Arabidopsis thaliana: one gene and its partner. The protein of the gene in region 2 interacts with the protein of the main gene of each other region in a biochemical or structural test. Each region holds a gene or a part of one and is shown on either strand. Other genes may lie near its edges.

The links.
Region 1: the proteins of ATS9 (region 2) and PUB22 form a complex in vitro, tested with the Arabidopsis thaliana proteins (one study listed by BioGRID).

Annotation. Positions count from the first base shown.
Region 1 is NC_003074.8:19,440,064-19,444,691, reverse strand, and holds PUB22 (plant U-box 22), read left to right. Parts: upstream 1-2,264; 5' UTR 2,265-2,441; coding exon 2,442-3,749; 3' UTR 3,750-4,075; downstream 4,076-4,628. UniProt on the Arabidopsis thaliana protein: E3 ubiquitin-protein ligase that negatively regulates water stress response. May control in coordination with PUB23 a drought signaling pathway by ubiquitinating cytosolic RPN12a.
Region 2 is NC_003070.9:10,178,318-10,183,335, reverse strand, and holds ATS9 (non-ATPase subunit 9), read right to left. Parts: upstream 3,035-5,018; 5' UTR 2,739-3,034; intron 2,738-2,738; exon of another isoform or gene 2,465-2,737; intron 2,123-2,464; 5' UTR 2,097-2,122; coding exon 837-2,096; 3' UTR 548-836; downstream 1-547. Other genes in the region: AT1G29140 (Pollen Ole e 1 allergen and extensin family protein), read right to left, coding at 3,525-3,871, 4,139-4,307. UniProt on the Arabidopsis thaliana protein: Component of the lid subcomplex of the 26S proteasome, a multiprotein complex involved in the ATP-dependent degradation of ubiquitinated proteins. In the complex, RPN6A is required for proteasome assembly.

The DNA of each region.
Region 1 (4,628 bases), on a different chromosome or scaffold from region 2:
GATTTGTTAACAGAAATTGGCGTGTGGTTAACTGATTGGAACCGGACATTTATAAAATAAAATTCTCTTCAAGATTTCAATAAAGGAAATAGCTAATCAAACAAATCAATACTGTATTTCTTTTTTTGGCTACATCAATTAGATCACAACATTAATGTATACACAGTTGACCAAACAACATTAATGTATACACGTACGTATAGATGTATATATATACTGTATTATGTCAACATACAGTACGTATATGTATTTATATATATTCTTAAATTTTATTAATTGGCTGTAATATATGACCGCTGCTCAAAGAATGGGAAAGAGCTATTTGTACATAAACCCAAATAAATATATATCCTCAAGATTGAAGTCAATTATCTATCTATTTGGATAAATTATTATTTTGTGGTTGAATGAATTGCTGATTAGTAGCATATATAGTTGCAACTTGGTCATGATTCTGGTCGTGCTCAAGAGTTGCCTAACTTATTTCTATTTTTCAATAATATCTTAATTTAACAAAAAGATGGAAATATTTCACTTCAGTTCTGTGATTCTGTTATACTTTCATATATTTTCCAAATTTCCAAATCATAAGAATACTATCGAGTTTCTATAATCAGGTCAAATAAGCTTGAAACAAATAATAACATAGGTTGAAATAGTTACAATGTAAACAGCAAATGGCTTAAAGTCTTAAACCAACAATTAAAGACTCATGAAGAACCACCAAAGCCAAACTATGACAAGAGAAATATCAGTTCATTTGAAATCTTAAAAGGTATAGAAGTGTTGATTAAGGATAACGGACTATCGATGATATCCTCTTCGTATATTTTTTTTAAAAAAACAGCAGAAAATCTTTATCATATATACACTTTTCATTCCGTTACTTAAACGTTAGTAAATAACCAATATCATAACTCATAAGTTCATTAATCATAGGGTATATAAAGCTGTAAATCATATTATGTTGACTTTTTCGTAATATATGCAATTTTTAATAACTAAAATGTTTGAAATCGAAAGATGTCTTTGGAAAACACAAAGTGGTATATATATATAGATATAGATTTGGTTAAAAATGTATGTAATTCTTTAAAAATGACAATGTTTAGAGTTTACTGGATTGTAGAACCTATGGATTTTGTTTAATGGCAAAAACAAAAATGGAAGTAAAGATGTCCATCGACAGATCAAAAACTCATATATATTGTCAAGATGAAATGATATAACGTTCTATAAAAACATTAAGTGAATCCCTGATAATCGGAAGAACGATAAAACAACTTGAAGAGACTGAGTTATCAATGTCCCACAAGTGGTACCAAAATAGTTTATGCATACCAAAACTATTTAATTAATCGAATGTAATTGACCAAAATAGATATCAGACTCAAAAGAATACCAAAACTTCAGTGATAACCAAAAGCAGATAAAAAACGTATATAGTTTATGCATTTGCCAATAGATGAGAGGCATATCCATTGGCACTAAGATCAAAGCCAACATATATATAAAGATAAAAGGAAAAAAGAGAGGAAAAATAACTGAAAATATGAATATCCAAAATATTGTGGAAGCGCCTAGACAAAAGTAGAGCATAACAAGGGAGTATGGGTCCAAAAGTATCACAAAAGATTGCATCCTAAAACAATGTACAAAATCCAACAACGGACCGTTAATGGCACTTTAGGTTTTGTCGGTACCAAAAACAGTAATCTTCTTTTTGTTGACAAAATTAAAAACCTAAAAATCTTCATCTACCTTTCGGTTGATTAACAGTTATATTAACCATAGTTTTGAAAATTGAAACAAGCCAGCCAATTTAGGTTACAATTTTTTGTAAAATGAAATAAAAAGTCAATGGGGGATGGCAAAAAAAGAGGAGGAATAAGCAATTATGGCATGTGAGTAAAACGAAAAAGAGACACAAAACAGACAATCTATTTGTCTTCAACACCGCCACAACCAATCCCCAATGACTTGGTTACTTTTTACACTTTCTTCGCCGTTATCGCATCTCTTTTGACAAGTCAACACTCTTCATACGTCTCACTTTTTTTTTTAATATGAGAAACGCATTTATAGTTTAGTTTCTTTTGTTACACCACCCAAAAAAAAAGTCAAATCTATATATAACGTTCCTCGTTCGTTCTAATAAAAAACTATACAATAATAAATAAATAGCGACAGCTATCCAAAAAGAGTTTTAACAATACTTGTATTTTCCGTGTTTTGACTTTTGTAATTATTCTGAATATTTCCACTATCCCTTTATATTTAAAGACCCAAACTCTTCATCTATCTTCTTGCTAACTTATTCAAACCAATTCACATATCTCCTAAATCTCAACGACTGCACTTTGAAGCTTTTTGTTTAGATTCGTTCGTCGTTTCCATTGATTAAGTCTACTTCTTTTTTTTCATATTTTCGAGCGGGTCAAATGGATCAAGAGATAGAGATTCCTTCCTTCTTCCTTTGTCCAATCTCTCTAGATATCATGAAAGATCCGGTGATAGTTTCCACCGGAATAACCTACGACCGAGAAAGCATCGAGAAGTGGCTCTTTTCCGGTAAGAAAAACTCATGTCCAGTCACCAAACAAGTCATAACCGAAACTGATCTTACCCCAAACCACACTCTTCGCCGTTTGATTCAATCTTGGTGTACCCTCAACGCATCATATGGTATAGAGAGGATCCCAACTCCAAAACCTCCGATCTGTAAATCGGAGATCGAAAAGCTTATCAAAGAGTCGTCATCTTCGCATCTAAACCAAGTCAAATGCCTCAAACGACTTCGTCAAATAGTATCTGAGAATACAACCAACAAACGGTGCTTAGAAGCCGCAGAAGTTCCGGAGTTTTTGGCAAATATCGTAAGCAACTCTGTAGATACGTATAACTCTCCTTCTTCTTCACTTTCTTCTTCGAATCTCAACGACATGTGTCAGTCAAACATGTTGGAGAATCGATTTGATTCTTCAAGAAGCTTGATGGACGAAGCCCTAAGCGTACTCTACCATCTTGACACATCGGAGACAGCCCTCAAGAGTCTTTTAAACAACAAGAAAGGAACAAATCTTGTGAAAACGTTGACGAAGATTATGCAACGTGGGATCTACGAGTCAAGAGCCTATGCGGCTTTGCTTCTCAAGAAGCTCCTGGAAGTTGCGGATCCAATGCAGATCATATTGTTGGAACGAGAACTTTTCGGTGAGGTGATTCAAATCTTGCACGACCAGATCTCTCACAAGGCGACAAGATCAGCAATGCAAATCTTGGTGATCACATGTCCATGGGGAAGGAATAGACACAAGGCAGTGGAAGGTGGAACAATCTCGATGATAATCGAGCTTTTAATGGACGATACTTTCTCATCAGAGAGAAGGAATTCAGAGATGGCGATGGTGGTTCTTGATATGTTATGTCAGTGCGCAGAAGGAAGAGCTGAGTTCTTGAATCACGGTGCCGCTATTGCGGTTGTGTCTAAGAAGATATTGAGGGTCTCACAAATAACTAGTGAAAGGGCAGTTAGGGTTTTGCTTTCGGTTGGGAGGTTCTGCGCGACACCCTCTTTGTTGCAGGAGATGTTGCAATTGGGAGTTGTAGCAAAGCTGTGTCTGGTACTTCAAGTTAGCTGTGGTAACAAGACTAAAGAAAAGGCTAAAGAATTGCTTAAGCTTCACGCTAGGGTTTGGAGGGAATCACCTTGTGTCCCAAGAAATTTGTATGATTCGTATCCTGCTTGAACAACGTACATGTTTGAATAATTCTCATCAGATACAAACAATTCTTTGAGAATTATTCTTCGTATAAGTTCATTTTAAAACAAAAAAGAGTGGTTTAAATTTTGCTCAAACTCTGATTTTCTTTCATTTGTTTTTGTTTTATTATCTTTCAATGTTTATCATTATGTGTAGATAATAGTGGACATATTTTCATGAAATTATGAAAAAACTGCAAAGAAATAAATGGATTCACAGGTTACATGGCTATTTTATCCCACTTGCTTTGTTCGTAATTGTTAGAGGCTCCTTATTTATATTCTTTTTGTCCATTACTCACAATAATAATGGAGAACATCTCTTTCAACTTCTCGTTTTTATTGAGTGGATAACCTAAAGGTTACATCATAGTTCTGCTAAAACCATTACTTTTTACAAATACTTTTAGAGATTTGTATGCGTCATGTGTAACGTTTCTGACCATTTAATTGATGCCAGAATTGTAACATTGCGAATGTAATTATGTATATATATATATATTATGTCGGTACGTTCTACAACTCTAATCCCACTATTGATTTATATATTCCAGTATACATCGACGATATCCACGACGGGCATTCTTTCATTCGAGGATGAGTTTCTGTTTTAAGAAATTCTTAATTAAGATTTGTTTTCTTAATTATTATGTAAACATACCAAAAGTCCTTCATATATATGTGATTTTGTATTCACTTATTGTGATTTTTTAGATCACTCAGTTTAAAATGATTTAGACTAAACGTGGTAAAAACTGTTTACGAAAACTCTTTGCATGCGTTTTAACGATCAATAGACATTTCATTATCGGTAGATCGAAGGCAAAAGATAGATGAATATAGGAATCTAAAGCACGTTATAGCA
Region 2 (5,018 bases):
GAAACCTCATTCAATTGGACATTTAAGTTTTCACTTTTCAGCTATAAACTGACAATCACACAATAATGGGATACCTACATAACTAGAATAAGGTTTTTACTGTTTATGAAGAAGAAATTGAACAAATATTGGAACACTCTAAATGTTTGTCCTTCCAATAAAAGACCAGTAAACCACTAATGATAAATAACCTTTTCAAACAGCCAAAAAAATGTCTTAAATCTTAACGAAATATTATGATTTGTGAAAATATATGCCTTATCAACATTTTTGTGGATGACTGTAGTATGTCACATTTTAGTGTTAACATTTAAAATAAACGTTTTAACAGAATTTGTTTACTTCATCAATAATCACGAAGCTAACTAGAAAAGCTACTGTGATGAAGCAGCACATAAAAGAATATGACAGAAGAAGAGAACAAAATCAAGACTTGCTTGTGTGCAAGTCATGTCCTGAGTTGAGAAAAGAAATGGTGGGTCCTGTGAATTGAGTTCTGGGTTGGTCAGAATTTATAAATGCGGAGATAGAAAAATCAATGAGATTTGGATGAGGTAAAGATTAAAGGTTTTGGAAAAAGAGAACACAATGTTGACTTGCGAGGCTAAGAAAAAGAAACTGCAACAACCAGATGAAAACAAACTACATTTTAAGCACTAATAAAAGGTAAGAAACCATGACATAATAAGATCATAAGCAAAACGAGTAATGTGAACAATTCAGACAAGTTTACTTTCTCCATTGAGAAACATCAGTTTCTTTGAGTCCAAACGATATCTAAAACCAGAAAGAAAGAACGATAGAATGAGATTCATACGACCAACTCACTCACTCTCTCAGGACATGATTTTGGCAGACCGGACATAAAGGCTGTCGACGACCTTCCCCATGTTTGCAATGGTTTCGAGGGTAGCCGAGTAGATAGCATCTGCCTTTGGGTCTTCGAAGATGATGAGGCATCCAGCTCCTTGATCCAAGGTACCTGCAAATTTCTTGTCGAGTATCATCTGAGATAGCTTCTTTTCCACATGGTCGAGCGGCAATCCAATGAGCTCAGCAATGTGAGCTATCTCAACTCTTGAGAAGGGCTCGATCAAACGACACAGATTTTGCTCCAGAAGCGTGTCATAGAGAGAAGAGAGATGCCTGTGGACAATTGGGTCATCTTCAAGCTGTGCTTTGTAGTCACGGAGTGCGTTCTCAAACAACTTCAAGGACCTCTTCGAGTGAGCATCAGCGACTGCTTTCATGGCATCCAGGTCAGGGCCAACGTACTGTAGTCCAGCCTTTGAGGAGATTATTCCTGCAACATCATCAGCTTGGCTAACCATGATCTTGCACAGTAACATGTACTTCAAACTGAAAACCGCTCTCGGATCTCCGAGAGCGTTGAAGGACTCAAAGGCTTCAAAGAAGTAACTGTATCCGGTTTTGTAGTCTTTCTCTTCAGCATGAAGAATCCCACTCTGCAGATCTATCGTGCCTTGTTGAGCTGGTGGGACATATATAGCGTTAGCAGCTGTCCTAGCTGCAGTGAGTGCAGCTTTTGCCTTGGGTAAGTTTCTCAATGAGAAGTGAAGTTTGCTCTCCAGCAAGTCTATGTCGACCAGAAGGAGCTTATCATCTAATCTCCTAACCTCTTTTACCAAAGTACTCAACAACGCCAAAGCTTCAACATACTCCTTGTTCTCCATCAAAAGAGCTGCAAGCCTAGCCTCTACTCGCTGCCTGAGGAAAGTACGCTTCTCAGCGCGGGTCCATTCGACCATCTCTTTGCAGAGAGTGATCTGGAGATCAGTTGTTCCAGGAATCTTTGCCACAGCATCAATGATTCCTCTGACGATTTTCGCAGTTTTCGCCTTGGGGATTAAGGAAAAGAAAGGCCTCAACTTGGTCAACAGTTTCCGGAGATCCTCACCTCTCTTCTCTTCAGTCAATCGATCACAAAGGTTTGTAATCGCTTGCTCCTTGATCCGTATAGCCTCAGGAGATGAAGAAGGGTCTTCCAAAACCTGGTACAGTATCGTAATAGCCTCCGAGCTGTTGGCTTCTAAAGCCAGGGAAATCGTCTCTGTGGTAGCACGATAGGAAACCATTGTGGGTTTAGTGCAAACTCAAATCCCTGCAACAATAAAGCCATAGACCTGTTAATGCAATGTTCAAATATTTCTCCTTTCAAGCTTATTGATACTCTTTAGGTTTCACATCACTACAAAAACAAATCCATCTTCGATACATTACCAAGATAATCAGATAAAGACAAGCCACGATGGTAATTTATCACTGTAATTTATCAACTCTTCTGTACCTAATGATCAAGACAAGCCTAGAGATCTATCAAAGACAAAGATACAACGAGGCTACAATAAGTAATACAGGAACTGAATTACAAAGCCTATGAAACTATAACCTAATTTTTAAGTAATAAGATGAATCACAGAGACATAGTTCAGTAATTACTAACTTATTCAGTTCGAATTCTTCGACTCAAATACTTTTAAGATCTATTTAATTTTGTATTCAGCTTCTTTCAATCAGAATTAGAACATCCTCGGGCCCATCTTCACTGAGATCAACTAAATCGAAGAAAGCTAAACCCTAGAACTATCGAGACAAGGAACCAGATGTGGTTTTTTAAAACATCGAAAACAATACGCATACCAAAACCCAGAATTAAGCAGATCTGATAAGCAAACCCAGAAGAAGAATTAATGAAATTTCGCAAGAACAAGACTTACCGATGAATCGTCGGGGGCGTGAGATTTTGGTAAAGCTTTTCGACGACGGTATAGAAGAAATAAGAAGAAGAAGATTCGAGAGTTTTTTTTGGCTTGAAAGAAAAGATAAATGGACAGTCTTCTCGTAGTTTTACAATTTTTTGAAGGGTATATTTGTCTTTAGATGCTGAAATCAGGAAATAGAGAACGCTTAACAAATTCGGCGTCTTAAAATCTAGCGTTTCGGATTCAGAGTTTGAAAACCAACGCCAGACGCTGCAAAAGATCCTGGTGCAAACGCTTGTCGTGAAAACGCGTTTTGTGATTCAGGCCTAGTGGCTCAGACTAAAGGCCCAATATATACAAAACTCTGATCCGCCTTCTTTAGGTAAGGGTTCGATTTTATTTGTTGTCTTTTGCTTATTTCAGTTTGAGTCATTTACCTCAAACTATAATTCACATTATATGTTACATATGTAGCTTTCTCAAACTGTCATAAATTTCACTATGCATGTAAATGATTTAAATTTATTTTAGAGTAGGGTTTTTCACTACATCATGCATGTATCTGTTCAATCGAAAAGTAACAAATAAATATTGGAAGGTAATCAAATCATTCGTAAAAAAGAACTCCCAAAAATAAAACAATAACAACGAAAAAAAAACATGGTTAATTAGTAAACTCAGACAGACACATAAAAAACATAAATAAATGTTTTATATATTAAAAAGAGTCATCAAAAAAATTGAAAGTGTTGAGACTTTGAGAGATCGATGTATATGGGTGTGTATATATGTATATTAAGCTTAGAAGGTGACGTCAGGGACGATTCCAAGCTCCTTGAAAACTTGAGGGCATTCAGCGAGAGGAGTCTTCCTCATGAACCCAAGTGGGTTAATGGTTCGAGTCTCGTTGGAGACAATGCCATCATTGGCCGTGAGACTGATTCTGGCTGCGTTTCTTAGGAATTCTTGGTTGTTCACGTCTCCACACTCTGGGTCAGGTGATTGGAGGAGGACGATCTCGCACACTTCCTCTTCGTGGTCACCCATTACTTCCATCTGGTAGTTACCGGCGTTGTCGGTCACGGCTTCTTTGGTTAGGGTCACTGTCTGGTTCTCACGACCCTTGCACTCAAGCTTTACCTTTGCCCCTGATATACACACAATAACGTAATTAGTTTTTCTTATAATCTTGCAACACTAACTCTTAGAAATGTGACTAACCACATTTTTATAAAATTTTAACATTGTTAAAAAGACGTCTATATATGCTTGTAATCATTTTTGTGAATTTTTACTACACAATTCTAACCATTGACCTATATACCATAATGGGATCGATTTTTTATCAACCAATATATTTTGCTATTGACAGTATGCTCAACAAATGAATTTGATTAGAGAATGTGGTTAATTACCCTCGAGAAATTTGCTGATACGGGTGATGAATTGGACACGGCATGTGTCGCAGTAGACGGAGCCCTTGATGTGGAATTTGTCAAAGTCGTCGGCATCAGCTGCGGTGAAGTGAACGAGGGTGGTGAAACATAGGGCAGAGGCAAGGAAGACAATGAAGAATTTGGCCATTATGCCTTAATCCTTTTTTTTCTTGTGTTTTTACTTCGGTCTTCTCCTCTCTTGGATTTGAGAGTTTATTTGTAAAATTTAGTTTTTAAGGGAGAACAAATTGTAAGCTTTGGTTGAGAGGAGACGCTATGATAGATCCAACCAAATATCTCCTTTTATAGAGAACAAATAGACAAAACAACAAAACCATGTGATTCTATATCTATTTTTGGAAGTTTTTTTGTTTATTTTTGGTGTTTTTGTTCTTGAGTTTTGTACGGCTGTGTTTTCCTTGAACCCGATCTTTTCTCATTGCCATCTGTTTTTCTTTTCTGTTAATAATTCTTCATAGATTCCGTTTAGGTCTTTTTTGTATGAGGATGGTTTCCCAAATGTCAATCTATAGAATCTTATGTATGTTTAGACCTCCACTAAAAAGATTCAATGGGGGTGGAGAATTATCTACTAGACCCCAAAGTGAAAGTTTTATTAGTAGTAAATGACTAATTAATCTGAGCCGCACATGAAAGCTTTTGCACAATTTTCTTTGAATTAAGAAAAATTCCAAAAACAAATTGACTAGAAACAAATGTCTTCAGCTGAATCTGTTATTTTGAAGAGTAGAGGTTGAACATATATAACTTTTCTCTTTAAGAAACCTTAATCTATAATAACATCTTTCAAGTGTTGTATCATCAACAAGCTAATACAAGAAAATCATGTACAGATGAA